Coturnix japonica: one gene and its partners. The protein of the gene in region 7 interacts with the protein of the main gene of each other region in a pairwise test. Links are inferred from orthologs where the notes say so. Each region holds a gene or a part of one and is shown on either strand. Other genes may lie near its edges.

Region 1 (4,225 bases), on a different chromosome or scaffold from region 7:
CACTGTAGTGTATCCCTGGAGACTAGCAGCTTTACAGAAGAGGAAGGAGTAGCAGCACTGAACAGACAGGCAAGCGACATCTCCTTTTCTTTTGATCATCTGGAGAGTCTGCTATCTGACTTGAGACAGGGAAGGCAGCCCTCTGCATTAGAGATGCACCCCTGATTATAAGCCAACTGCCAGCAGAGTACTGCACTTTTCTTTTTGCTGGGAGGCTTATGCAGTGCTACAGGGAGCCTCACTTCTTCCACCTTTCCACACACCTCGTGTTTAGGAAGACTCCCACGTCTGCAGGCACCACCAACAGTCAGTCAGAACATTAGGTCCTTATGTCAGTAATAGGGCCCTAGCTTTTCGTATCCTGAATAGCTTGGCCACTCGGCAAACAGACCATAGGCGCACCGAGGACTCCCAAACTGGTCAAAGGCACTGCTGAAGTCTGGGCTGCACGGGGGGCGGAGGGCTTCCTGGGCAGACTTCAGTTCTGAGCGTATGATTCTGTAATTTGTGCCCCTGTTGCTGTCCCAGTACACCTTGCCATTGCACTCAAAGGAGACGGCAAACTCAACTCTTTCATGGGATTGAATTCCATCGGGCAAGCTGATGTCGAAAGAAAAAGTGTCCCGATCTGATCCTCCGTACGTATCCTTGACATATTGGCACGGGAAATCTACAAAGTTTTTCCAGGTGTCAAATGTCATCCTGATCCTCACGGACTTTTCAAAAGCCAGATTCCTCACTTTCACTGTGCCCACAACAGAGCGCTCCTTTAACATACAGTTTTCAAGGCACACGCAGTCTGTCTGAAGACGGTTTCTGAAGTCCAGGTAGTCTGCAGAGGGCTGGACAAAGTCCAGGACAAAGCTGTCCCTCTCTACTGTTGTCAGACTCACAATGTTGTCGATCAGCTCGGTGATGTTGAAAGGAATATCTAGAGGATCATCGAACTCTGAGAACACCTTCACCATTGTCAGAGCAAAGCCTCTGCTATCCGCAAACGACACCTTCTTCTTCACCTTGTTGTGTGTGAAGGAGTTTTCTGCCTCTTCTGGTCCAGTCAGTACTGCCTTGCTGTTCAGCTGGATGCACGGCCGCAATGGCTTGTTTGGCTTTGGGGCAATTTTGCAGGCACACCTCTCTCTTCGCAAGGGTGAGGAGCACAGGTACAGCTGCATTGCTACATCCACAGCCATTGCTTGTTTGTGAGGAAAATAGTCTATTACACTGAAAGATCAAAAGAAGGAGCAGTTTATGTCAGAGAAGCATTTCAGTGACTTGTCAGATAGTTGCTACACTATTCCCCATCCATCCTAAAGAAGCTCAGTTTCCATCACCCCCAAAGTCCCTCAAGCTCTGTCAGAGGCCAGTACTTGCTTGACTTACAGATATGTTGGGAAGCGTGCTACCACAGTGCTGTGGCTCAGCCATAGCCTGTTACATCCCCTCAAGGGCAAGACAACTTCCCATTGCTTGCTACAAAGTCACCATGCTAAGGCACATGCAGTCATCACCCTTTTAGGCTTGCAATAGCAGGCTCTGGAACACCTCTGACTTAAACCAAAGATCTGTGGCTACTTGGTCCTACTGATTCTCACTTTACACTTATAGAAGAGCAACTTTCTTCCCACTTCGCACTTTAAAACAGGTATCAGGCAGCCAGAAGGTTCCTCCTCCACGCAGAATGCACACCTTAAGCCTACAAAACACTTAAAGAAACATCAGTGTAGCTAGAGCAGGCAAGCTGTGTGATGTACTCAAGGCTGACAGAGGCTTTGGAAATAAGCCCTCCCCTCAGAGGCACAGATTGCGTGTCTCTCCACCACAGCATCTCCTCCTCTAGCATCCAGCTCCCAGTGACACAGCACAGTCCCTCTGTGCACCCATATCTTGAAGGCAGGCTACTTCCTTAATTAAATTCCCTGTTTGGCTGCAGACCATGTTCCAAAGCCGGTCTCACTGCTAGAGCAGCAGCAGCTGACCGCACAAGGGCTCGTGCTGCCAAAGCCACACACAGCCAGCTATAGGACTTGATAGCTGTCCCTGTGCCAAGACAAAGCAACAGAGCTGCTCTCTCCAAGTCTGTGCTTTACTTTCCCACCCTGCAGCACCAACAGGGCAGCCCTCCATAGCATCCCTTCAGCAGCAGCACTTGCTTACGTTAAAAGGCATAGACAAAGGTTTGCTTCCTAACACCAGCTACCTCCTGCATTTCTTCTTTAAGCCTTCTTTGAAGCTCAAGGGCACCTGCACAAGGACAGACAGCGGATCCACCTGTCTGCCAGCACCAAGCCGTTCAGCTCTTCCTGGTTTCACTGGCTTTCTCACATATGTCATACAGCTCATTTCCTCCTTTCAAACAAACCAAGGACAACTTCACCTGCACCCCCTCCCAGCAGCAGCCATACACCTGATCTCCCATTCAGCGCTCAGGTACTTCTGTAAGCCTCAGTAACAACCAGCATTTAACGTTAAGAGGCCAGGAGCATCCTGCCTGCTTTGCACGACTTGAAGCACATCCAACTTGAAAACCAGAGGAAAGGGAGCGAGCAGGACCACCCCTTTCAGAAGGGGAAGGCTGCATTCCACTCACCACCCCCCCTCCAACTGAGCCCAACCCCGTATCAAGCAACTCCCACAGCACAGACCTGGTTACCCCCACGACCCCTACAGGATACCCCCCGTGACACAGCCCCGTCCCCCATACAGCCCGTACCTGACGCAGCGCATGAGCCCGCTCACACAGCCCCAACCCCGAACCACCACCTCTAACAGGGTGGCCCCACAGCGGACCCTTAAAGGCACCGCCCGCCCCTCCCTCCCTGCCGCCTGACCAATGGGTGCCGTCCTCCTCAATGGAACCCTCCTCCTCTGCGGCGATGGGGCTGGATGTGTCGTACCCAGCCGGGTGGGGGGCTGCGCTCGCTGGGGTGGGTTGGGGGGGGGGGGGGGGTGTTTGGGGCGAGCATTGGGGGTTTCTAAAAGCCAGCTGGATGCCTGGGGTCTCCTGAGGGAATTTCCTGTGCCTGAGCAGGCGTTGTGAGCCTCTCTGGTATGAAACTGGTGCAACCCCGGGGGGTTTTGCCAGCAACGAGCAGCCAAAGGTGACAGGAATGCCCCGAGGCCTTCTCAGGGGGCTGCTGTCCTCAATAAGGTGTTCGGTTTGCACTGAGGGGTGGGGTGGGGTGGGGTGAGGAACGAGGGTTACTCACACTTTCCGTCCCATAGCTGAAGCTCTGGGGCAGAAATGCCAGGAGACGTTCCCAAATCGCATTTCCTGACAAGATTTAGGGCACGGAGTGGAAAAACTGAGCTTCTCACAGACACGAGAAAGTCGTCTCTTACAATGACAGTGTTATGAACAACCACCTGCGGGAGCCAAGCGGCCGGCAGAAGCCCATCCCAAGGCAACTCAATGCTCCAGCGGCGACACCTCCTCCTCGCCTCCTGGGAGCTGGGAATGGTGACAAGGCTGGGAGTAACAGCCTCTTGTTGGCCTCCGAGCACACCAATGTGAGCAGTGCTGCTCTCCCGCCTCCCTCCCAGAGCATAAAAGCGGTATTGAAGAGTCAACATTTGTTTTTAATTAGCCGGTGGAAGCAGGCATGGCTATTGTTAAACCCAGAGACTTCCTGCTGTAAAGCTGCTGCTTAATCAACTCGCTGCTCCGCGATGCAAAGCGATGCAAAAGGGTTGTGTTGGGGGGAAAGACCATTGTTTTAGCCTCATAGGTTCCTGCTTTTAGATAAAGGCAATGATAAGGAAGCTGGGGAGAGAAATCTACTGCAGGTCCCTTGGAGATGTGGATCAGTATTTTACATGCCAGCGGCAGTGTGGAATTTCAGCAGGGCTGATTGGCGACAAGGTTTGTGCAGGGATGCGGGGTAGCAAGGATTTGCCCAAGAGCAATGGACAGAGGCCCCAAAAGGCCCTTGGGTCTGCACAGCCATCTCCAGGCAGCGCTACCGCAGCCTGGCTCAGCACGGTGGCTCAGGGTGCATTTCTGTCGCGTGATAGAAGCTCTGTTTGCCTTGTGCAGGGCGAATTGCTTCACAACTGCTGCCTACTGTTTGCCTCTGAAGCAAAGGTAGGTGGAAGCCAGGGCAGGGCATTGTGGCGGGCTGTGGACACAGGCTCTTATCTTTTGGGAGCAGAGATAATGGCTATATTTAGCTTTGCACTGAGCCCTTGCACAGTGGTCTTACTGATTTCCCCATAGCTTTCCACC
Region 2 (3,500 bases), on a different chromosome or scaffold from region 7:
CAGAGGGTTGTTAGAATTAGGGTACTATGGTGAGGCTGCAGTTGGACTTGATGATCTTCGAGGTTTTTTCCAACCTGGGTAATTCTATGATTCTATGATTGACTCTGTCAGTATAATTTACAGAACTAAAGCTACATTGCAAGTAAAACATATATATTTTTTAATACTAGAAAATGAGAACCATCTCATTTTCCATTTGTATCCTAGATTTATATATATCACAAGGAAGCCAGTATTTTGATACACTGAATATTTATTGTCTTTCACAAGACAAAATGAAGGTTCCCCTGCCAATGAAAAGCCATCAAGATGACGGTTAAGGGGACAGGGTGCCAAATTCCAGTGTACAGTATACGCAACAAATGACCGCCCTGACTACCCGGAATAAAGATGATTGATCTCACTGCAACTAAAAAAAACAAAAAACAAAAAAAAACAAAAAAAAAAACAAAAACAACAGGATTATAAAATATTTACAGAAAGGAACAGTACAGAAAATAAAACCATGTGTGTATGAAATGCTGCTAATGTTTTTCTGGCTCCTTAAAAATTGGCTCCACTACCCTCACCAGAGCATTCAGGATGTGAAAGGATTCGGGAAGAGCAAAGACAGCCACAGCTCCTACACCCCCTCCACAGATCACCGTCACCTCCTCCAAGGAAGTGGGAGGACTCAAGGGAAGCAGCGTTGCCTTACTGACTGTAATTCCCTTGCTCCAAGTGGACATGCGAGCTCTGAAAGGAAGTACCTGGCTGCACCTCACCTGCAGCAGCCTCTATTCAGATCGTACTGGCAAGTTAACCCATGGGTAGGGAACCATTCCCTGTCATATGAGCCCTTCCATTGCTGGCAGAAAGACCTTTCCCTCTTCCTCTGTGGTGGCCTGATCTGTGCTCAGAGGGCAGGAAAGCTGATTGGGACAGGTCAGAGAAGACCTTCCATTTCCTTCATGAAGGCTTCATACACATCATCCTTTGTCTGTACAGAGATAGGGGCAGACGATCCAGCCTTAGGGGCAGCTTTGGTTAATGGGAGAGCAGGCTCATCATCTTGTTTTCTCTGGGAGGCAGCCAATGCCCCTTTATTCTCCCTACGCACTCGCAAGGCAGTGGGCACAAAGCGAGTGATTTCTGCCTTGGGGTTAGTGATCTGTGGCTTGGCACTGATAGTAGCCGTAGCCTTCTTCTCAATAGTGGCAGCACTGGTGTCATCCGCCTTGGGACGCTGAATCAAGCTGGGTGGGGCACTCAGAACACCCGGGTTTGGAAGAGGAGCTGGTGGATAAAGCCCAGGCGGGGCAGGTCCTAATGGAGGCACCAGAGGTGGCCGCAACATGCCCGGGCGAGGAGGAGGGATACCTGGAAAGAAGAAGAAAAAAGGTGAGCTGACTTTATCTGGAATTGCTAAAAGTCTTTGACAAAAATAATGCAAAATCTCAGCCAAAAACTGTCAACAAAATGCAGAGGCTCTGGCTTAAGAGAAAGGGAAACAGGGAGAAGCATTGCACCAGTAGATAGCTCCCGACAAGAAGGTAGAAGATGTATTAGGACAAGAAAACTGCTCAGCAGACTTGGAAAGCCACAAGAACCTGTATATTGCTCCCTTTCCACTTTCAAAGTTAAAAAGCGAAAAGCTTCCTTGAAGATTTATCCCACTGGAATTTCAAAATCAAAAACACGTGACTATTCAGCAAAACAAAAAAAGTCCCAACACACTATCACCTATTTAGAAACAATGCAGCACAAATTTAAACACTGAAATTACTTATTATAGGTGCCAGATCTCTTACTACCAAAATACACATAGCGATATGGAATTATTTGTTATAATACATAAAAAGAAATGGCAAAAAGGATCAACCGGAAAGAACCTAAGGGCGTACCTTTAGCTGCACATACTAGGACAAAGGCAATCTGGTAGTAGGGAACTATTTAACGTCTAAAGGAATATCTGATTCTCCAATTAGATATACTGACTTGGTCACCACAACAACGATTACAGAGAACTGGGAAGACAAAGTAGGGAAAGACTTGGCTCCGAGTACTTTACCTGGTGGGGCAGGAGGTGGCAAGCGAGGAGGGGGCCCACGAGGAGGAGGGCCTGGGGGCAGACCAGGTGGGGGACCGGGGGGAGGGCCTGGGGGTCTCCCAGGTGGGGGACCTGGTGGTAGAAGTCGAGGTAAAGGCCCACGCAGTCCTGGTAAACCAGGAGGTCTCAGGAAAGGAGGAGCTCCTGAAAGCATACACATAAGAGATTTAAAACTTCAGTTCATGGATAAAAGAACAATCCCACCTGCTAATAGTGAAGATTTTCAACAGAAGCTTCAGAGATATTTTCAAAGTAGCCAGCTGTCAGATTAAACAGATCTTCTACAAAGTCTCAGGAAGAGACAACAGTTGTAGAACCAAGAAAGCTTCTTGGTTATATTAAAATACAAACATTTTCTCCATCTTGGGAGAAGGCTTTTCCCCATGTATTGAATCAACAGTTGAGAATGGCTAATAAACTAGGGTTATCTGAACTTAAATAGCTAGAAATGAAAGTATTTCAGTCTTTTCATGCTGTTCTTCTGGCCTGAAATGTATAAAGTAATTTCACTCTACTGAAAATAGCTGCTTTGAGGTTTGAGGTTCCCCTTCTAGGGGATGTCAGAAACAAAACTGTTGGAAGACGTTACGAAAACCACACTGACCATGGAAGAAACCTCACAGGTCTCAGCAAATACCACACTGGTCTTCTGTACTTAATGTCTAAAATGCTCCGCAGCTTCATAACCCTGACACTGATAAACCATCTGTAGTACTGAGAGCCTGCATTCTTCAAAACAAAACAAATCAAATATTCACCTGGTGGAGGGCCAGGAGGGAGGCCAGTGGGTGGCCCTGGGGGCCTCAATGGAGGGGCTGGAGGTGGTCCTAGTGGAGGTGGCCCAGGCATAGGAGGTGCCTGTATCTGACTTGAAGCAACGGCTTGCGAAGATTGCTGCTGTGTTGAGGCTGCAGTAGACGACCCAGTCTCTGCAAGAGCTTCCTCACTATGTTGCTGCTGCTGCTGCTGCTGTTGCGATGTGTCTTCAGACTCTGAGTCTTCTTCATCCTCCTCCTCTTCTTCTGAATATTCTTCCACTTCCCTCCCTTCTTCTGGGATTTCCTGACCTGGAAACAGACACGTTAATAAAATCAGTCCACAAGTAATAAATTTGGCAACATAAAACACTAAATAAGAATGAAAAGAAATTCCCCTCAAAGGAATGAAAACTGATTATACTAATTAATATACACAAAATGCAAAAAAAAAAAACAACTAGATAGTTCTGCTTTCCTGTGGGAACTAAAACTTCTATTAATAAATCTGAACTGCAGTTATTTGAGTTTGTGGGAGATAAAACTTTTAAAATAGAAAATATCACAGATTATTTATTCCCCAAAATAGACATAACCACCACTTCCAAGAAACCCATCTTCTCCCAGCTTCCTTTCTCCTCTCCCCTCCACCCCAA
Region 3 (4,046 bases), on a different chromosome or scaffold from region 7:
CCTGCGCAGCTGCTTCTGCCTCTTCAGGATGGAGGTGGCTGCGGGGAGGGAGGAGGGATGGGATCGGGAGCCCCACTGCCTCCCCTCACTGTCACCCCTTCCTGCCCTGTCCCCTCACTCTCTCACTGTCTCCATGTCCCACCCCCATCCCCTCACTTGGTCACTCTTTGCTGTCCCCATGTCCCGGCCCCTTCACTTTCACACTCTTTCCTGTCCCTAAACCCTGTCCTCCCCCCATCACCATTTGCTGTACCCACATCTTACCCCCATCCCATGTCCCCATCCTCATCCTTTTGGCTCTACCACTGTTTGCTGTCCCCATCCTCACTCCTGTCCCCTCACTGTCCCTGTGCCCACCCCCCTTCCCATCCCTCCCCCCCCCGTGTCCTCCGACCCCGTATCCTCACGTTCCCCATCTCCGTGTCCCCCCCCATCCCCATGTCCCCCCGCTCACGGATGAAGCCGCTGGAGCTGGAAGGGTTGACGCTGTCGCAGCTGTCGGCGCTGTCGCTGTTGGAGATCTCATCGTCGGAGTTGGACGCCGGGGAGCCCACGTCTGCATCCTCAAACTTCCTCTTGAGGCGGCCGCTGCCGATGGCATCCATGGGGTCAGCGGGGACCTGCAGGATGGGGATGGTGGTGGGGGGTGTCTGGGGGGTCCCCATAACTGGACCAACACCATTGGCAGAGCTGGGCCCATGGTGTAGCAATGTGCAAAGCCGCCTTCCCCACTGAGCTCTGCATCTCCTGCACCCAAACCCCCAAGTGTGGGGTGTCCTCAGCACACAGCAGAGCTCAGCCGGCAACAGGGCTGTGCCTGGGGGGGCTGGGTGGGGGGATTTGGGGACAGGGACATGGGCAGAGCTGAAGCTGCTCAGCCCCGCTCTGCTCTGCTCCATCACTGCAGCAGCGACGGTTCTCATGGCAACAGAACAAACGGCTCCGGAGGAAGCTGTCAGCATCAGCATCCGTCTGTCTGTCCATCACCCGACTCTGTACACCCCGCCATCATCCAGCTGCCATCCATTCATCCTCCTGTCCGTCCATCCCTCCACCATCCCTTCTGTCCACCCTTCTGTCCACCCATTAATCTGCCCATCAATCCATCCATCCATCCATCCCTCCATCCCTCCACCATCCCACCCATCCCTTACCCACCCCTCTATCCATCCATCCCTCCACCATCCCACCCACCCCTCATCTCCCCGAGCTCCTCCTCACGCTGCTGCTCCCATCCAGGTGTAACACAAGGCCGGGGGGGGGGGACACAACCAGCACCTCTCCCATAACGAGAGCCCTTGGTCCTGGTGGTGTCCTGGTTGACCTGGTTAACCTGGTTAACCCACAGTTGGCCACTGGTTGACCAAGAGCTGAGCAGAAGCCAGCAGGGTGTCCTGGTGGCCATGAAGGCCAATGGAAGCCAACTGGTTAACCAAGAGTTGACCAGTGGTCGGCTATGGGGTGATCACAAACCAGCACTGTGCCCTGGAGGCCTGAAGCAGCTCCCCACTCTGCTCTGCACTGGGGTGGCCCCATTGGAGCACTGGGCTCCCCAGTTTAGGGCAGACTGGATCCCTCCTTGGGATCGGGGATCTCCTCTTTGGGATCAGGGGATCCCACAGCTGAGCCCTGTGGATGTTCCAGGCTGCAGCTCACACAGCAGCAGCACTTACACAACATGCGTTGCAATGAGCAGCAGTGCAGGGCTGCTGGCAGGCGGGGGGGACAATGCAGCCCCCAAAAGCAGGGGGCAGTAAAATGTGGGGGGGGGGGGGTCCTAGAAAGCTGGGGATAAAAAACAGGGGAACACTAAAAAGCTGGAGACTAAAGGAGGGGTCCCCAAAAGGAAGGGGGTCCTAAAAGGGGAAGGGATAAGAAAGGGCAGCCCCCAAAAAGCAGGAGTGGAAAAAGGGGCAGCTCTGAAGGTGGGGGGGGGGCTCCTATTGCTTCTATCGTTCCATCTTCAGCCCACCCCAACTGTAACCCCCCCCCATCCCTTACATGCTTCTATATTTAAGGTCTCCTACGTGACCTATAAGCCTCCATACACACCCTATAGGCTCCTTATAGTCTCTACATCCTCCCTGTTCTCAAGGCTCCAACCCCTATAGGTTTCCTACAGGCCTCCACCTTCACGGCCTTCATCTCCTACATCCCTCCATCATTAGGGCCCTCACCTCTTACAGCCCCTATAAGCCCCCATTCTCCAGGCCCATCCCCCATAGGCCCCTATAGGCCTCCATCCCCACCACCCCTCCATCCTTAAGGCCCACACTCCTCATACACCCCCTATGTCCTCTATCAGCTCCCATCTTCCAGCCCCCCCAACCCCTACAGGCTCCCTACAGCCCCTATACACCCCCCCCATCCCCTATAGCCCCCATCCTTAATGTCCTCACCTCCTATAGACCTCCTATAGGCCATAGGCTCCCATATCCCACCCCTATAGGGCCGCCTACACCCGTCCATCCTCAAGGCCGTCATCCCTTATATCCTTATATCCATCTTTAAGGCCGTCACCCTATACATCTATAGGCTCCCATTTCCAGCCCCCCCCCTTTATCCCTTATGGACCCCCCTCAGCCCCAGAGCCTCCCACCTTCAGAGCCCCCATCCCCTATAGACCCCCTATAGACCTCCTATAGACCCCACACCCCCCCACTCACGTCTCCCCTCGGTCCCGGTTCGGTCCCGGTTCGGCGGGGGGCGGCCCGTGTCTCCGTTTCTCGGCCCGGTCGCGGCCGCGCGGCCCGCCCCGCCGCCGTCTGCCGACAACAATGGGGCCGCGCCTTATATACCGCTAGTCACGTGACATCAAGCTCCGCCCCCTACCCCCCACCCGCGAGGGGTGACGGGAAAGCGAGTCCGGGAGGGGCGGGAATGGAGTGCGGAAGTGGGAGACACCCCCCCCCCCCCCCCATCCCAGCCCCATTCACAGCTACAGAGTCCGTACAAAACTTTACCGGACCCGGCTCCGTTACACAGCGGGATGGGACCCGAACCCCCGGTACCGACCCCGGTACCGCCCGAACCCCCCGGTACCGACTGGAGCGGATCCACATCCTGCACAACGAGCTGCGGTACCGCTGGGCCGAACCGAACCGAGCTGAGCCCCATTGAACGCAATGAGTCCATCTGCAGAACCGAACCGGGTCCTCTCTGCAGCCGAACCGCCATTGGGCCGAGCTGGGGATCACACGGAGGCGGGGGGGGGCGGCTGCATTGGGCCGAACCGAACCTTGAATTGGGCTGAGAACAGCTCCGAGGTGAGTGGCACATTGAGACCAGTGAGCTGAGCGTCACATTGACATCAATGTCCCATTGAGATGAGATGAGCATCCCATAGAGCAACGCATCCCATAGAGCTGAGCTCAGGGTCCCACTGAGCATCCCATTGCATTGAGCTGAGTGTCCCATAGAGCTGAGCATCCCACTGAGCTCAGTGTCCCATTGAGCTGACTGTCCCATTGAATCGAGCTGAGCATCCCATTGAGTTGAGTTGAATGTCCCATTGAGGCTGAGTCCCAAACTCACCCCATTTCCCCCCATTTCCATCTGCAGAGCTGGGGCAGGACACAATTGCAGCCATGAGCTCAGTGCTCTGGTCCATCTCCAGGTTTCCAGCCCAGGAATGGGGGATTTTTCTCCCTTTCACTTGAAACCACAAAAACATGCAGCAAACTGCCCCCCCTTTGGGTGAGTCCTGTGGGGAGTTGGGCTGGGTGATCCCTGCGGGTCCCAACAGCGCTTCCATGGTGGAGGAAAGGAGAAAAAGCCCAACAGCCCAACTTCCATCACAGCCAAAGTGCTGCAGGGAATCCCTGCCAGGCCTCTCCCACCACCCCGTGTGTGTGATTGAGACCCGCTCAGCCCCACGGGGCCGGCAGCACCGGGCTGGTTTCCTTCATGTCCTCTCACCAGCCTGAACGTCACAGGAGCTGCTGGTAAAACGGAGCCAGGAAAAACCCTCGTGCAGCTTTGAGGTCCCAGAGCTGAACTCTGCCCATTGAGCCAGCAGTAGCAGCACCCATGGGTGCTTTGCAGCT
Region 4 (4,100 bases), on a different chromosome or scaffold from region 7:
GTGTGTATGAACTGCAGCACAGAAATAGAAAAGAATATGTAAAAAACAAAAAAAAAAAAAAAGAACACGACAAAAAACAAACTTCCAAACCTGTTCTCAGTGCGGCTCATGTCACACGCTGCATTCTAAAGCAGCAGCCCAACACATGATGTTGATCTCAACGTCATTCATTACAAAGCGTGCACTGTCAGCCAAGCGCCAATCAAACATATGACAGACTACAAAGAAATACCAAGGTAAATGGAGACCTGAGATGAAACAGAGTGAAGTAATTGTTTCTGTGCATTATCCTGAAGATGTCAGTGTTTAATTCAGCCAAATGGCCACCATTTAAAACTAAAAGTTTCTCCACCAAAATCACTCTGTGGGGAACAGATATTGAAAGGAGCACATCTACTGTGGCTGCTGAATGCTGCTGGAAATAGCCCTCCCCAGAGAGCTGAAATGTCCTGCACTCTCAACACCACTGCACTGTGTGTAAAAGCACCAAACAGAAATAAACCCTTTGGGTCTACAGTCCTTTCCTCCAACTCACTGGCTGCAAACACACAGTTGAGATTGCGGCCATCCCTGCTGCAGCGGTTGGTGCTGCACATGGAGCTCCCAGCCAGATGGCAAATCCCTCTGAGCCAAAGCCTGTGGGTGCAGTGTGCCCAATGGGCCCGGCCTGCCCAGAAATGGAGCTGTGCAAAGTAGATCTCATAGAACTGCACCCTCCCACCCCTCACAGCCCCTATGGAAGCCGTGCTGGGATGGTGAGGGTGGAGGTGACCCAGTGTTTGGAGGATGGTGTGAGTGTCACAGTGCTGCAGGCAGCAGCACCCTCAGCATCACCAACCTATCACTGTGCTGGGAGGATGTGGACACGGCTGGGGCTGCTGGAGCCACTACGGGGACTCATGATGGGACACAGAGCCATGATGCTCAGGCAGCATGATGCTGGCTTCTGCCATCCCCAGCAGCACTCCTGGTCTGCTCAAGCATCCGCAGCTCAGAGCCTGGGAGCAGCACTGCTGGTGCCCAGCCCTGGCCCAGCTGTGTGTGAGGGTGTTCATGGCCATGGGCACCCCATGACCAAGGCAGGGTGAGCCCCAGCGGTGGGAAGCTCACACTCCCCAAACATCCATGTTCACACACCATCTCTGGGGGAGGTTTCGGCACAGGCGGCACTGCTCTTACCTGGCCAGCACACGGAAGGTGCTGCTCTCCCACAAGCTGTGACTTGAGCCCAGAGCCGCCTGCCCGAGCACAGCCAGCACAGCCCCGAAGGAGCCAAACGGGTTGAGTGACTTCGTGCTGTGGGAGGAATAATCTTGCTGGGCTGTGGGAGCTGAGGCAGCCTGGCTGGTGAGGACGTCGGCACAGAGCTCCCCACGGCCCTCTAAGGTAAAACAGGATGATAGTTGTGTTTGGAGGGCTTTTTATAGAGCTGCTGTCAAAACCGGTAGGCAGAGAGCTTAATTAGGACTGATCTTGGGAGCGAGGCGGTGCATGGGTGTGTGAGGGGCTGCTTGGAGCTGGAGCTGGGAGTAAACAGCTCAGGTTGATCTTACCGAGCTGTGCTGGCTGCGCCCTCTCTGTGCTGTGCCACCAGATGCCCACAGAACAGAACAGGAGCTCTGGGAGCTCCATGGGGTGCTGCAGGGACGGTGCCCGCCCTGCCCCACTGCACGGTGCCATGCGGGGCTGCTGGGCACGGCCCCCTCGCTCCTGAATCAGTACTGACTCACCGCAGCTTGGATGGGAGTGCAAAGTAGGTATTTGCAAACGGGCTCGTGAGGCGCTGCCTTGCCATGTAGGTGGGATGCGGTACAGGCTCCAGCAGCCGAGCTCTGCTCTGATTCCTCCTCCCTTCGGCACAGGGTGCCTACCGCAGCCCAGAGCCTGTGTCCGTGCTATGTGGACGTCTCAAGCAGAGCCGTGACGGCAGCTCAGCTGACGATGGATGACCTGGCTCTGCTCGACCTGCTGGAGTGCCCGGTGTGCTTCGAAAAGCTCGATGCCACAGCCAAGGTACTGCCGTGCCAGCACACGTTCTGCAAGCCCTGTCTGCAGAGGATCCTCAAGTCCCAGAAGGAGCTCCGGTGCCCTGAGTGCAGGACACTCGTCCTCTGCGGCATCGAGCAGCTGCCAGCCAACCTGCTGCTCATCCGCCTGCTGGATGGTGTCAGGTACGGGCAGAATGCACCCCGCTTTGGCTCCATTCAGCGCTCAGGGCTCCTGTCCTCCCCTGCCTGCATCCGCAGGGCCCCGCGAGGTCTGCAGCTTGCCCAGCACCGGCTGCCCACCGCCCCCAGGAGCCTCACGGATGGGGTAAGCAGCGCCCGCGCTCGTCACTGTGAGCACACAGCTCTGTCCCTGTGTGCCGGGAGTGCCAAACCGCCATGCCAGTAATGCTGCACAGATGTTTGGAGTAAGAGAGATTGTTCTTTTGTTTGCAAATCTGGCTGCTGTTTTCCTTGTGATATTTCTCTGGAGCTCACCGTAGTAGTAACTGCACTGAGCCCCAGGCTCAGACAAATGCAGTTTGCCTTCCTCTTTATACAAACTTTGCTGCTTTTCTCTGAAGCTTTCTGGTCCCTCCTGACTCTCAGGAGTCATTTCTGATGCTTTAACTTTCAGGAGGTTCACTGGTTGTGATAGCCATCAGATGGGTCACTGCAGGGCTGTAACTATCAGAGATGGAGAAATGCACCTCAGTTTCCTCAGAATTACAGAGGAAGGATATTTCTGCCCCTAGCAAAACGCCTTGAGATTCAGTGATGAAAGATACTGAACTCTACTTTCATCTAGGGATGCTTTCCTTGGCTAATTTTAAAGCTGTAAGCTGTTCCTGTCATTTTCTCTAACAGTACAAAAGCTTTTTTGAAATAATTAGGATGTGGCATGAGAGGGAGCCTGCCTCTGCCTCAATTGGGGCTCATATTACTGAATTTCCTTTTCTTCCACCTGCACTACTCAGTGTCGTGTCTCTGATCAGCCCAGGGCACACCTCAGCCTTGCAGACATGGACAGACTCGCAGTAGATCTGTCTCTGCTGTGCCGTGGAGGCCCCATACTGCTGTCCGGCTGTGAGCTCTGTGCAGTAGGGGATGGTGCACAGCCAGGGGCCTCAGGGCCACAAGAGGGTCATCCTGCCTCCAAGCCAACCATTGGAGCTTATGGGCTGGGGTTTCCTGCAGGGAAACATCCAGCACGGCCCCGAAATGCCTCAGATGGAGGGCAGCTGGACACAGGGTGTGCAGCACACAGCTTTCATCTCTCACCCCTTGCACATTCCTTTACCTGTGCTCGGGATGGTCAGGGACTGCTGTGGGCATTGCTCAGTGGCAGCTCCCTGCTTGGCGAAGGCAGCAGAAGCCCCGTAGTGCTTCTATTACTACTACTTTTACTATTATTATTATCATCATTATTTAACAAGCACTGCTCTTCCAAAGCAGAAATCTGGGCTCACGATTATTTTTAGATCACTTCTGTGAAAAAGTTAGAACTGGGCTGATTTCCTTTTCCTCCAGCATCCTCAAGGCTTTGCTAACACTCCTGGAATGACCCCATTACCAACATCCCAAAGCAGGGGCAAAAGTGCTCACTGTCAGCCATGAAGTGCCCCACTCACAGGCAGATCCCAAGCAGTGCTCAGTGCTCAGTCCCCAGGAACGTGGCTGTCCCCACCACCCCATGGCCGCAGCCATCCAGCAGTTGCTCAGGTAGTGCTGAGATTGCTGCAGGGCTTCCTGCAGTTGTGATTCTGGGCTCCCACAGGACGGCCGCCCCCAAACAAGTGCTTGCTCTAATTTGGGAGCCCAGAGAACAGCTCTCTGCATCCTGCTCCTCCACAGCTGCTCTCCTGCTGCTCATGGTGCAATGCTCCCTGCGCTGGGTGGTGGTAGGGTCCCCAGAGAAGGACCACCTCCACCTGCAGGCTGCTGATTGCCGTTGGGATGTGCACCACTTCATGCTACAGAGCAAATAAAATTAGCACACACCGTGCTGCACTGCAGCCTGGTGCACCGTCAAGGCAGGATAGAAGACACATTTTGTTTTACAAAAAAGACCATCTATAAATAAACTTCCTTTACTCCGTGGAACTGAGAAATCAC
Region 5 (4,076 bases), on a different chromosome or scaffold from region 7:
TAATAGGCAAGTCTGTGAGCAGGACTGGGATGTAAACACAAACTTGGTACCCTTCAGGTACCTTTCAGCACTCCTAATACTCCTAGTTTTACTTAAGGCTTTTGACTGAAGAGTCCATAGATGATTATTCTGATCATACAATGAGAATGACAATATTTCAGAATAACATTGTAAGATAAAATCCATTAAATGCTAAACCACACATCATTCTTACAGCAGTATAAACTAGATTTCAGGCTTTTGCGTGATTACTCAGAATAAGAGTAAAATATTTGTTTTATTATCAGGTGGGAACATGCAGATGTTCAATATTATTTGATAAACAAATTTAAGCAGTATATAGCAAACCTGAAAAAGCTCATTGAACATGCAACTCTACCACTAATTATTTTTACTCACAAAGACTAAACCCATATGTATTTAGCACCTTTTATTTCTTTCCACATACTGTATATCTATTATAATACCTTAAAAGCCATATTTTCTTGCATGTTACTATAGCTTCTGTCATGCAATGGGACACTGTCCTACCAGATAAAGTCTGTTTTAGAGGAGGAAAAATGCTTTCTTAGTATTGATAGTTCTTTCTCCGCACACAAAACCAACTTGAATATAAATATCTTTGTCTGTGTGTCAGACATGTTGTATACTTTCTTTGTTGTATATTTCACAAAGATCCAAGTAATTGCCTAGCAGAAAACAACATAGGGGAATTAAAAGTGAGACTGAATATATAATCCTTTCATTAGTCACTTCTGCTCTCAGAAATCAAATGGTAGAAGCATACATTCCTTTCAGTCAAGATTGCCCCTTTGGGAGTGAGTGGAGCAGTTCATGTTAGAGTCCTTTGTTCCCTTTACTTAAGGAATTGGAACTGTTGGGCATTAGAGACAAATCATCTATTGTTTTGCTTAATTTAATTTGTATTTCATTCTAGACCAAGGTGCTTAGGATTACTTGATAAAACCAATAAGTGAGAAAACTTAAAATAGTTACAAATATGAATGTATTAATATACACGTTGGACCAGAAGGGAACAGTGTGGCAGGTGTACCAAAAAGAGACTGGAATGTTTTATTCATTCAGTAATTTGAAATAAACCAGAACTAGATTTTAGTCCCCAAATGCAGTTTTGGACTACCTCTTTAGGCTGACACTGCCTGACTCAAACCCCAAACCTATTTCTGGGTTTAGAATTCAGTGTAATGGGCAGGGAGTATCAACAGTCCATTCATTGTCTTGTGCTATTTTCATTACTCCTTTTCTCTTACAGGGCTTGCATTATTGTCTCCTTACATAAACCCAGAATAAACTGGCTCTTTGCCTTTGCTCCCAGCTTATTGTTGGGCCTTTCTTTGCGATCACATCACATTGAAGTGATGCGGTTATTTGTTTCTTTTTCCTCTAAAGGGGTCGTCATTGCTTAGGTGCTGACATCTGCAATTACTGACTCACCGCCAACAGACATTTAGAATCATTCCTCAAAGTGGAGTTAAGCTAAAAACATCATTAGCCAGTGTTAAAGGGGGAAAAATACATAGATCTAATCAGAATATTCCGTTTATTTGCTGGTATTTCAACCGTGTCCCCCCCAGGCACCACCCTCTGTGGCCACACTTGGTAAGAAGATTACACTTCTCCCCATGAAGTGAAAATTACCTTCTTAAGGGGAGAAAGCGCTTAATTGCGACCCCGCTGCCTCTTGTCTCCATGGCGATGGCACGCAAACAGCCCACTCCCTTCTGCGCTGGGAGCCCCTACTACCCCCCCCCCGCCCCACGCTCTCGGGGCAGCCCAGGTGCGGCGCTCCCCGCAGAGCCCCGGTAACCTCCAGCCGCGCCTCCGGATGGGAGCTGCGAGCGCAGGGCTCTGCCGAGCCCCGACACCGAATCGGAGCCCGTTGCAGCGAGAGTCTGCCCGCTTCTCAGAGGGCTGCAAAGTGGAGGCGGATCGCGACGCGCCCCCCGCCCACCCCGGCACTGCCCGGAGCGCGGGGCCGTTACCTGCGTGTTCCCCGGCCCCGGGGCCAGCGGGCTCGGTGAGGATGCTGGGGTCACTCTGCGATCTGCCTCGCGGGAGAAAGCAGCCGGGCCCTTCTTCCGATGCAGCCATGAGGCGGCGGGAGGGAAGCTCAGAGGCGGGGGCAGGAGGAGGCGCTCATGGAGCCGGCGGCCGCCGGGGGGACAATGGGGACGGGGGCGCGGCGGCGAGGAGTCAGCCGGGCAGCGCCAACAGCGGCAGCATCTTCCCGGCGCCGTCGGTAGGATGCGGCGGGGCCCTCCACCGGCACCGAGGCGCTCAGAGGACGGCTGCGGCCTCTTCAGGGGGTGTGTGCGCCATGCCACCCGCAGGGCTGGGTGAGAGCAGAGCTGTGAGCCAGCCGTCCGTCCGTCCGGAGCCCCGCAGCCCCCGCGTGTCGCTCCCGGAGCCGCCTTAATTCGCCGCGCCGCTCAGAGCATCCGTCGGAAAACATCGGGATTCTCCCATCGTGCCCAGCGAGCGGCAGCGTGATGTCACGCCAAGGGGGTGTGAGGTGCCGCACCTGCACTGCACAAAGGAGGAGGACACCGCAGGTGTAAGCAGCATCGAAGCTCCGCCCTCTCCCAGAAGCATGTGATTCACGGGGGGCTCCGCCCCGCCCGGTAGAGGGGGCTGCGAAGTCGTGAGTGACCCCCAGGATGAGCTACGTTGAGCCTGTTGTAGTTCGGGATGGGAGCTTGGTCGGAAAGGATGAAGGTGCTTTGGGGTGATCCTTCTGCTGAACGGTCCTCCCTGCTGTGATTACACGTGAGTTTCGACCCGTAACACCAGGTGGGTTTTGAGCGCTGTGCTGGCACCGCCCCTAATTGGGTTATATGGCGTTGTCTCTCCTGTTAAAATAGCCGAGTGTGATAAATCCCCTTTCGGTCCAGCCTCCCACTGCCCCACGGGTCCGTCTGCCAGGTTTTAAGGATGAAACTTTGTACCAGAGCGTTTTCCATTGATGCAGTCATTTGTTCACTCACATTTTTTGGCTCTGTAGAAACATAAATAGCATCTTATGTTTGTTTTTATACAAAGGAAATGTGTTTTGGCCATCTCTGAAAGCAGAGGCCAATGAGGCAGTTTGTGGTTCTTAACAATTAAAGTCCGTCATTTTGTGTGCTGTCCCCTCTGGCTTTGATTAAGACACACCCAAAACAAGTAGGAGAATATGGAGTTTTTAATCAAAGCTGCATCATAATGTGATGGAGTGAATTAAGATAGTAAGGGTAATCTGTACTTTTCTGAGAGCTTACTATTGCCATCTTGACACATTTTCAGTGTCAGTTACTGTAATTTCTTCCAAGCCTTTTGAGTTAAGTGGCTCATCTTAATTCCCAAAGGACGGCTAAATGAGCCATTTATATCACAATCTAAGTTCCCAAGGAGCCAAATAAACAGATAAGACTTGAATGCTTTGTTTAAGGGAGGCTTTAAAGATACTGGAATTCATTTATACCCTTTTGCCCTGATAGCCAAACTTTTGAGTTACCGTGATTCAACACTGAAAAGGAGTCAGGAACTCTGAAAATGACTGACAACAAACAGATATTTCTGTGCATCTGGATAGCACAGTGTGATATACGCCCTGCATCCAGTTTTTCATCTAGAAATATTCCCTTTATAGTGAAATAACAAACCAAACCCTCTTCTATTCCTGAAAATAATAGAAAAAATGTCTGTTTTTCTCTTTTTCCTTATGTAACTCTAAGGTCATTTTAGAAAATGTGGATGGTTCTGTGAAATTCGGTCTGTATTAATCGATACGCCCACCTTCTGCAAAGAAGCATTGCACTCATTTCTTATATAAAATATGTAGTTTAAAAGTCTCATATCAGGTTTTGGCATTAGTGCAGGATGAATATATTAAAGCATTTTCAACCTTTCAAAGTAGCACTGTGCCCTATAGAAAAGCACACAGTGGTGTTTTTAAGCAAGTTCTGATTGCCTCTGTAGAGGGCACTTCATGGGGTCCCTTTGAATCCTAAAATGTAGTCATGTCGAAATGAGCCAAACAAGTCTAGAATCTGCCTTGCTGCTTTAACTTTGTTGAA
Region 6 (3,500 bases), on a different chromosome or scaffold from region 7:
TCGTCACCCAGCTCCAGTGCCACACAGTCCGGATGGGTTTCACCCTGTGCTGGTGGCTGCCTGTAGTGCTGGGGGCTGTAGGTGCAGTTCAATGAAGGCGAGACGCCCAGTGGGTCGGCAAAGACGCTGTGCTGGAAGCTGGGCACAGGCCAGTCCTTGTCACTGGGCTCAGCGTGCTCCTCGTCCAGCAGGAACCGCTCGGGGCCAGGAGATGGCACATAGCCGTGCTGCTCCTGCCCCGTGTAGGGGTAGTACTCGGCACACTCCCACGAGCCCTCACCCGCCGGCACGTGGCCCAGCAGTGGCTCCATGCTCAGTGACGCCGTGGGGCTGCTGTCCGAGTCATCCCGTGCACCTTGGGTTCTCCAGCAGGACGCAGAGCCACGCTCACCCTCAGGGCTGTAGGAGCACATGGCGTAGTCCATCTCAGCGCTGCCCTCGGCCGGGCCCTCGATGCGGATGTAGTACTCACTGCCAAGCGAGGGGCTGTGTGCGCCCAGGATGGGCACCATGCTGGGTGGTGGAAGGCTGGGGCAGCCGGACTGCTTGCATTCATAGCAGGAGGGTGAGACCCCCAGGCTCAGGTGCCCCGCGGATGTCGCTGGGTAATAGAGTTCATGGTAACGTGCAGCACTGCTGGGGCTGAGGGAGCCCAGGGGTGCCTGGAAGTGCTCGGTCTTGGTGTGCTCCCACTTGTACTCAAAGTTGAGGCCGTGGCTGGTCTCCATCACGGTGAGGATGTCGTCCCCGTCCGAGGGGAAGCCGTCAGCTGAGAAGTGCTCCAGTAGAGGGAAGGAGGACAGCTCAGTGCCGTGGTGGCTGCCACTGGCACCGCCGTTGGGTTTCATGGAGTTCCAGCGCTTCTCGAACTCCTCCTCCGCCTCCGTTGCACCCTTGGCACAGAGGTAGGAGAGCAGCAGATGCACCTCCTCAGCTGTTGGGCGCTGCTCAGGCTGCAGCCAGCAGAACTGCATCACTTCATACCTGGTGGCGACAAGGAGCAGGGCTCAGCACCGTGCCCACTCCTATGCCAGAGCAGTGGCTGTGCACCCGCAGGGGGATGGGGAGAGTTCCTCACCAGCGCTCCGCCAGCGACAACTTCAGCTGGGGCTTGGGCAGCTTCAGCTGCTGCTCCTTGATGGCGTAGGCAAGCACCTGCCGGTCGGAGTAGTGGTCGTAGGGCTGACTGCCCAGCTCAAACAGCTCCCAGATGGTGACACCCAGCGACCTGCAGGAGTGGCGTGATACTGGGGGCACAGAGAGACCCCCAGCCCGCAACCGGCTGGCATCCAGACACCACACACCCTCCATGACCCCCACCCTGCTCACCAGACGTTGCTGGCCTTGGTCTGGTCCACAACAAGCAGGTTGCCATGCACCTCGTCGATGAGCTCGGGCGCAATCCAGCGCAGCGGCACCCACAGCTGGTCGGCCGTCACAAAGTAGTCGTCCTGCCAAGTATGCAGGGTCAGTACGAGAAGAGAACGTCAAAACAACACGTAAAGGACAGGGCACACCACCACCTGCTGCCACCATGCTCCCCAGCCCCACTGCACCGCCACCCCACGGCCCCAGCCCCATCGTGCTGCTCCTCCAGGCTCACACCTCCTCCCAGTACCCACTCAGTGCTCTAGAAAAGCCCATGGGGAAGGGAAGGGAAGGGAAGGGAAGGGAAGGGAAGGGAAGGGAAGGGAAGGGAAGGGAAGGGAAGGAAAGGAAGGAAGGGAAGGGGGAAGGGAAGGGGAAGGGAAGGGAAAGGGGGGAAGGGAAGGGAAGGGAAGGGAAAGAGGGGGGTGTTTGGGGGTGTGTGTGTACAGAGAGCTACAGGCAAAGCCATAAGCATGCACAGAACACCCCTGAGCCCCCCCCCACCCCAACTCAGGGGGTCCCAAGCACAACCCCCTCCTCACCCTAACCAGCCTTACTTTGTACTTGCAGTGTGAGAGCCCGTAGTCCCCAATCTTGACGGTCAGGTCAGCGGTGAGTAGGCAGTTCCGCAGGGCCAGGTCGCTGCCAAGCAAACCCCAGTGCTGTCACTACCCCATGGGGGGCACAAGGCACCCAGGGCCCGGGAACTGCACTTGGGCAGCCCCAGCAGCACTGCTGCCAGTGCAGGGAGTGGAAGGGTTGTGTGACAGCAGAACGCTGGGTGTGCCGATCAGCAGCCACCCAATGCACAGCAGGAATTCCTGCACAGCGTTCCAGCTGCGCCTCTGTCCATCCGTCCATCCGTCACGCGCTGAGCCAAGCGGAAAGCAGGTTTCCCCAGCAACGTGAGCCCTGGCACTTCTTAGCCATGAAGGCAGGCTCCCATAGCCCCGGAGGGGTGCACACAGATGGGCTGCACATCAGGACAGTGTGGATGCATGTGGGGACAACCCTGGGTGCACCAAGGATGCCCAAGGGAAACCCCTCTCCAGCACTGCCCTCCCCCCACCTTCCTCCCACTGCAATGCTTCCAAGCAGCCAAGCTGGGAAGGTCCGGTGGCCCCGATGCAGCGCTCCCCTTCCTCAACAAAATCACTGATGCTGGAGTCTCTGTGTGCAACTCACTCAGCACCAGGATATTGTTGGGCAGGAGGAGCAAGGTGGGGCGGGTACAGCCTGGGGGTTGCTTAGCACATGCCCCCCTTCCCCCCCACCGCACCGCCCAGCCCTACCTGTGGATGTAGTTGTTCCTGTGCAGGTGCAGCACACCGCAGGCCACCTCACACGCCATCCTCTGCAGAGTGAGTGGGTCTGGGGCCATGGAGTCAGCCCCCCGGCAGCTCCTCAGGTATCCCTTCAAGTCACCCTGCAGGACAGTAGCACTGTGACCACAGTCCCCTCTCACACCCAGCATGTCCCAGGGCCAAAATGCAGTAAGCATGGCACAGCAGTGCCACGTACCACCCCACAACACCGGCTATGGCACTCACCAGCGGGCAGAACTCCATCACCAGCAGGTAAGGGGTGACCTCGGCGCACTGGGCCAGGCACTGCAGCAGGTTGGTGTGCTGGAGGGCCCTGCAGGGCAGAGTGAGGGGCATGCTGGCACCATGGGGGGAGCATCCCTGGTGCCTCCTCCACAGCGCGGGGGCAGCTGGGAATGGCTGTAAGCGGGTACCAGCACGTCCCAGCACCCCAGTGTACACCACAAAGGGACATTTGTCTGGCTCTCATGGGGCATGGAGCAGCTCTGTGCCTCCCCCCACCATACTCATGACCTCACTGCAGCCCAGGCCGGACACCAGCAGCGTCCTGCAGGCAGCAAGCCCCAAAACAGAGCTGAGCTGCAGCCCAGAGAGCTCAGCCAAATGTGGCACAGAGGGGCCAGCCCACAGCATGGGGACAGGCTCCATCCGCAAGCACCCCCCCCTCCCAGCAGCTTGTCTCAGCTCAGGAGCACCCCTGGCCCTACCTGTAGGGCTGTGCTTCCTCCAGGAACTGCATCTGGTCCTGCACGCTGGCGCTGGCCTTCAGCTCCTTCACCACCACCTGCGTGCTGCTGATGCCCGAGT
Region 7 (3,976 bases):
CGCTCGTTGTTTTTTGGCTCCGTGCTGACACCGGGGGGGCCTGGCCCAGCCCCCAGCCAGGAGGTGCTGGCAGAGGACAGCGATGCCGAATGCTGAGAGCCCCCATTGCGATGCCATGGCGCAGCAGCTGGCACTGCCTGGCCACGTAGGGTGTGATCCTAAAGCCACATCTTAAGACCCATTACAAGTTTATTCCCCAAAAAAAGCCTCCTGCCCTGCCTTCACTGCCAACTGAGGGGCGGGTCCTGCCCCAGAGGGTACATTTGGTACAGTAGAAAGCGGCAAGGGCAGGATCTGACAAATAAAAAAACGAATGGAGAAAGGAGCGACCTGGTGCTGGGGCTGCTGGCGGTGGACACTCACTTCTTGGCTTTGGCAGAGTTGCGTGGTGGGGTGACGGGGCGGCCAGCAGGGTTCAGCCCACTGAACTGCCCGTACTTGCCCTTGTTCTTGTCTGCTGGTTTCAGAATCTGCAAGGAAGTGAAGGGTGAGTGAAGGGGCTGCAGGCAGAGCCCTGTGTGCTGCCCCCTCCCCGGCAAAGCCCCAGCTCACTTGGAAGGAGCACATGAGGGTCTCGTCCACACTCATCATGGCTCCTGCGTTGTCAAACTCCCCGCAGTAGTTGGGTGCAGAGAAGAGGGTGACAAGCTGGCGTTTGGCAAAGAACTCGTAGCCGTCCTCCACCACCTGTGGGGCAGCAGCACTCATATCTCCCTGTTCTCTGTCCATAGAGCCCACCAACTCCCCCAGGGGGCAGCATCCCCTTCAAAAGAGCCCAACCACATCCTCAAGAGCAAATGGCCCCTCCTGGGAAAAGCTCCACCGTTATGGAGCCCAGGTGAGGCCCGACCCCATTACCTGGTGTGCCCTGCAGATGAGATCGAGGTCATGCTTGTGCAGGAACTTGGCCACCACCTCGGCCCCAAAGGTGAAGGACACTCCTCTGTCATTTTCACCCCATCCTAAGACATCTTTGTCAGGGTCAGACCACAGGAGATCACACAGCAGGCCCTGGTCGGGTACGTCCGTGGGTCGCATGATGCGCCGGATCTGTTCCATCGACTGCAAGTCAGGAGACAGCCCTGCACAGGAGTGTCAGGTTATGCTGTGTGGCGGCCTTTGGACCCAGGCGGCAGCCCCCAGCCCTGTGCCCACCTCCGTGACAGCAGAATATCTTCTCATCCACAATTGCTGCAATTGGTAAACAGTTAAAACAATCGGTGAAGGTTTTCCACAGCTTGATGTTGTATCGCCGCTTGCCTGTGAGGCAGCGGGGTGGGTGCTCACAGGAGCCCTTCATGTGGGCCATGTTCCACCCTCCCCACCCTCTGGTGTATCACAACACACACAGGGCAGCACTGAACCCTCCAGGGGGCTGGGGGGGTGGCCGTGGAGGTGGCTGGGATGGGGGTATGAGGTCTGCAGGAGGAGGTAGCTGGGATGGGGCATAAGGTCTGCAGGAGGAGATGGCTGGGATGGGGGCATAAGGTCTGCAGGAGAAAGTAGCTGGGATGAACATAAGGTCTGCAGGAGATGGGAAGAGCTGCAAATGGGGATGGAAGGGGGGACTTTGGGCTGGCTGTATCATATGGGGTTGGCAGTGAGGTGACAAGGCAGTCCCGTTTGTCAGTAGTGGGGCCGGTGCAGCACTCACACTCATCATAGAAGCCGTAGATGCGGTTGATGCTGGCACATTCGTGGTTGCCACGCAGCAGGAAAAAGTTCTCCGGGTATTTAATTTTGTAGGCCAATAGAAGACAAATTGTTTCTAAAGACTGCTTTCCTCTGTCAACATAGTCACCAAGGAATAGGTAGTTGCTCTCTGGTGGAAAGCCTCCATATTCAAAGAGCCGAAGCAAGTCATAGTATTGTCCATGGATGTCGCCTGTAAGAAGATCGCGGGGGACACGCGGTGACGCTGGCTCCCAGCCCGCCCCCTTCCCCTCCCCCCGGCTCGTCGCTCACCGCAGATCTTGAGCGGAGCCTCGAGCTCCAGCAGGATGGGCTGGCTCAGGAATATCTCCCGTGACTTCAGGCACAGCCCCCGGATCTCGTTCTCTGTCAGCTGCACGTTCTTCCCAGGCCGTGAGCCTTGCACTGTGCGGGGGTGGCTTTCAGCAGAGCCCACTCCACCCCCGGAGCCCGCAGAGCCGCCGTGCCCTAACAGTCCCGCACTAACGCACGGCCCTCCCGGTGCCCCCGGCCCTCTGCAGCCACCCCCCATCCGCCCCGATCGCCCGCAGCCCCCCTCATTCCCACAGCCCCCAGCGGCTCCCACCGCCCGGCTCCCCCCGGCCCCCCGCTGCCCCGATACCCCCCGCTGCCCCACAGCCCCACAGTTGGACCCCCAGAGCCTCGCACGGCCCCCGTTTCCCCGCAGGCCCCGGCCCGCAGCCCCGTTCTCCAGCCCCTCCTTGGCGGCACAGCGCCGGTCCTTCCCTCCCCTAGCGGCTCCCGAGGCGGTCCGGGAGCACTAGGCCCATCGCTCACCCTCCAGGAGGCGGCCGATGATGGAGTCGAGGTTGAGCTTCTCGGTATCCGCCATGGCCGCCGGACGCTGCTTCCCCCCCCCGCCCTGGCCCGCCCCGGTCCCGGCCCCGCGGCCATAGAGAGCGGCCGGGGCGAGCGGCGGGTGGCGAGAGCGCCCCATGGCGGATGGGAGGCCGCGGAGGCGCGTGGGGGCTGCGCGCTCCCACGAGGCGGCGCCGTGTCGTTCCCCGTGCCGGCCGGTTGCCCGGCGGCTGTTGCCGTTGTCAGCCTCGCGGCGCGTGGGGAGCCCCGCGGGGACGTGTGCCGAGAGACACGGTGCTGCCACCGGCTCCACCCGCCTCACTTGTGCCCCTCGTGCCGCCGTGCCGCCCCCACGTGCAGTACGAGCCGCGCGGTGCCGGCACAGCCTGGCCCGTTGCCCGCGGTGACACCGGTGACATTTCAGCCCCGCGGTGTCAGCTGCGCCGCTGTCCCCGAACGACCCCGGCAACTGTCCCCGCTCCGCTGCCGGCTGCGTGTCCCGCTGCTCGTGTCCCGCCTCCCCGTGTCCCCCGATCCGTGCGGCCCCACGTCGCGGTGTGCTCACATCCCGTGTCTCCGTGCCCCGGCTCCTCCGATCTACCCGTCCCCACCCCGACGTTGCTCTGTCACCACGTCCCCCACTCTCAGATCCCCCTTTTCCCGTATCTTCCCTTATCTCCGTATCCTCCGATTTACCCGTCGCTACGTCCCCGTGCCTCGTATTCCCAAATCCCCGTGTCCCCGGATCCCCGTAACCCCACAGATCCTTCTCCCCGTGCTCCCTCGTTCCCCATCTCCATTTCCCCATACGCCCCAGATGTTCTCATGCCCTCGCATCCTTGTCTCCACGCCCCATAGTTCCCTCACACCCCACACCTGATACCCCGCACCCCTGAATCCTGGTGCCCGCACACCCCGCACACCCCCCATTCCCTCTCTCCCCCCCTTCCCCGCCCCGCCCCGCGCCCTCCCCCGGGGACGCCCTTCTGCCACCGAAGGCGCCTCCGCCGCCGGTGCAGAACGGGCACGGCTCCGCGGGCACCGCCGCCACGACCGCCCGAAAGCGACAGCGACCGCCGGTGGGTGCAGGCGGCGCCCGCTCCACGCGTGTCCGAGGGTGTTGGCGTGCGCCGTGCTGCGCGTGTCCGGCGGTGAAATCGCGGGCAGCCGTTGCGCTAAGCCGGGGGACGTGCGGGGCGGCACCGAGCGGCGCCGGGGACGGGCGGGTGGAAGCCGGGGACAATAGGGCTCTGTGCCGCTAAGCCCGGGCACGGGGCCGCCCCACTGCCAGCGGCCACGCGTGACTGCGGGGCACGGCTCTTCCCGGTGGGGCCGTGTGGCCGCACGCCTCAGTGTCCCTCCGGGAGCACGGTGGCACGGCGCGGTACCAGTGGGGCCGACGGTGCGGGCTGCGCCCTGCTCACCGCGACCCCTCTCCCGTCTCTCGCAGCCTCCCGACGCCCGC

Evidence for each region.
Region 1: the proteins of PPP1CA (region 7) and PPP1R3B interact in binary tests that used the Homo sapiens proteins (3 or more experiments, as listed by UniProt). The link is inferred for Coturnix japonica from reciprocal best matches to the Homo sapiens genes PPP1CA and PPP1R3B.
Region 2: the proteins of PPP1CA (region 7) and WBP11 interact in binary tests that used the Homo sapiens proteins (3 or more experiments, as listed by UniProt). The link is inferred for Coturnix japonica from reciprocal best matches to the Homo sapiens genes PPP1CA and WBP11.
Region 3: the proteins of PPP1CA (region 7) and CSRNP2 interact in binary tests that used the Homo sapiens proteins (3 or more experiments, as listed by UniProt). The link is inferred for Coturnix japonica from reciprocal best matches to the Homo sapiens genes PPP1CA and CSRNP2.
Region 4: the proteins of PPP1CA (region 7) and SH3RF2 interact in binary tests that used the Homo sapiens proteins (3 or more experiments, as listed by UniProt). The link is inferred for Coturnix japonica from reciprocal best matches to the Homo sapiens genes PPP1CA and SH3RF2.
Region 5: the proteins of PPP1CA (region 7) and PHACTR3 interact in a two-hybrid assay, tested with the Homo sapiens proteins (2 studies listed by BioGRID and IntAct). The link is inferred for Coturnix japonica from reciprocal best matches to the Homo sapiens genes PPP1CA and PHACTR3.
Region 6: the proteins of PPP1CA (region 7) and AATK interact in binary tests that used the Homo sapiens proteins (3 or more experiments, as listed by UniProt). The link is inferred for Coturnix japonica from reciprocal best matches to the Homo sapiens genes PPP1CA and AATK.

The regions. Positions count from the first base shown.
Region 1 is NC_029519.1:44,186,802-44,191,026, forward strand, and holds the start of PPP1R3B (protein phosphatase 1 regulatory subunit 3B), read right to left. Parts: upstream 2,801-4,225; 5' UTR 2,728-2,800; coding exon 2,714-2,727; intron 1,225-2,713; coding exon 333-1,224; 3' UTR 1-332. UniProt on the Homo sapiens protein: Acts as a glycogen-targeting subunit for phosphatase PP1. Facilitates interaction of the PP1 with enzymes of the glycogen metabolism and regulates its activity.
Region 2 is NC_029516.1:43,750,990-43,754,489, reverse strand, and holds the end of WBP11 (WW domain-binding protein 11), read right to left. Parts: intron 3,157-3,500; coding exon 2,848-3,156; intron 2,234-2,847; coding exon 2,051-2,233; intron 1,360-2,050; coding exon 926-1,359; 3' UTR 236-925; downstream 1-235. UniProt on the Homo sapiens protein: Activates pre-mRNA splicing. May inhibit PP1 phosphatase activity.
Region 3 is NC_029544.1:1,405,370-1,409,415, reverse strand, and holds the start of CSRNP2 (cysteine/serine-rich nuclear protein 2), read right to left. Parts: upstream 2,801-4,046; 5' UTR 2,667-2,800; intron 621-2,666; 5' UTR 606-620; coding exon 455-605; intron 39-454; coding exon 1-38. UniProt on the Homo sapiens protein: Binds to the consensus sequence 5'-AGAGTG-3' and has transcriptional activator activity. May play a role in apoptosis.
Region 4 is NC_029528.1:484,795-488,894, reverse strand, and holds the start of SH3RF2 (E3 ubiquitin-protein ligase SH3RF2), read left to right. Parts: upstream 1-1,300; 5' UTR 1,301-1,386; intron 1,387-1,532; exon of another isoform or gene 1,533-1,753; intron 1,754-1,763; exon of another isoform or gene 1,764-1,862; 5' UTR 1,863-1,941; coding exon 1,942-2,313; intron 2,314-4,100. UniProt on the Homo sapiens protein: Has E3 ubiquitin-protein ligase activity. Acts as an anti-apoptotic regulator of the JNK pathway by ubiquitinating and promoting the degradation of SH3RF1, a scaffold protein that is required for pro-apoptotic JNK activation.
Region 5 is NC_029535.1:5,949,616-5,953,691, reverse strand, and holds the start of PHACTR3 (phosphatase and actin regulator 3), read right to left. Parts: upstream 2,801-4,076; 5' UTR 2,113-2,800; coding exon 2,004-2,112; intron 1-2,003.
Region 6 is NC_029533.1:5,062,921-5,066,420, forward strand, and holds part of AATK (serine/threonine-protein kinase LMTK1), read right to left. Parts: coding exon 3,401-3,500; intron 3,007-3,400; coding exon 2,919-3,006; intron 2,795-2,918; coding exon 2,661-2,794; intron 2,011-2,660; coding exon 1,926-2,010; intron 1,470-1,925; coding exon 1,330-1,469; intron 1,229-1,329; coding exon 1,079-1,228; intron 985-1,078; coding exon 1-984. UniProt on the Homo sapiens protein: May be involved in neuronal differentiation.
Region 7 is NC_029520.1:170,044-174,019, forward strand, and holds PPP1CA (serine/threonine-protein phosphatase PP1-alpha catalytic subunit), read right to left. Parts: upstream 2,801-3,976; 5' UTR 2,651-2,800; coding exon 2,491-2,650; intron 2,098-2,490; coding exon 1,966-2,097; intron 1,886-1,965; coding exon 1,655-1,885; intron 1,261-1,654; coding exon 1,156-1,260; intron 1,083-1,155; coding exon 859-1,082; intron 688-858; coding exon 553-687; intron 471-552; coding exon 360-470; 3' UTR 172-359; downstream 1-171. Other genes in the region: cell cycle checkpoint control protein RAD9A, read left to right, coding at 1-96. UniProt on the Homo sapiens protein: Protein phosphatase that associates with over 200 regulatory proteins to form highly specific holoenzymes which dephosphorylate hundreds of biological targets.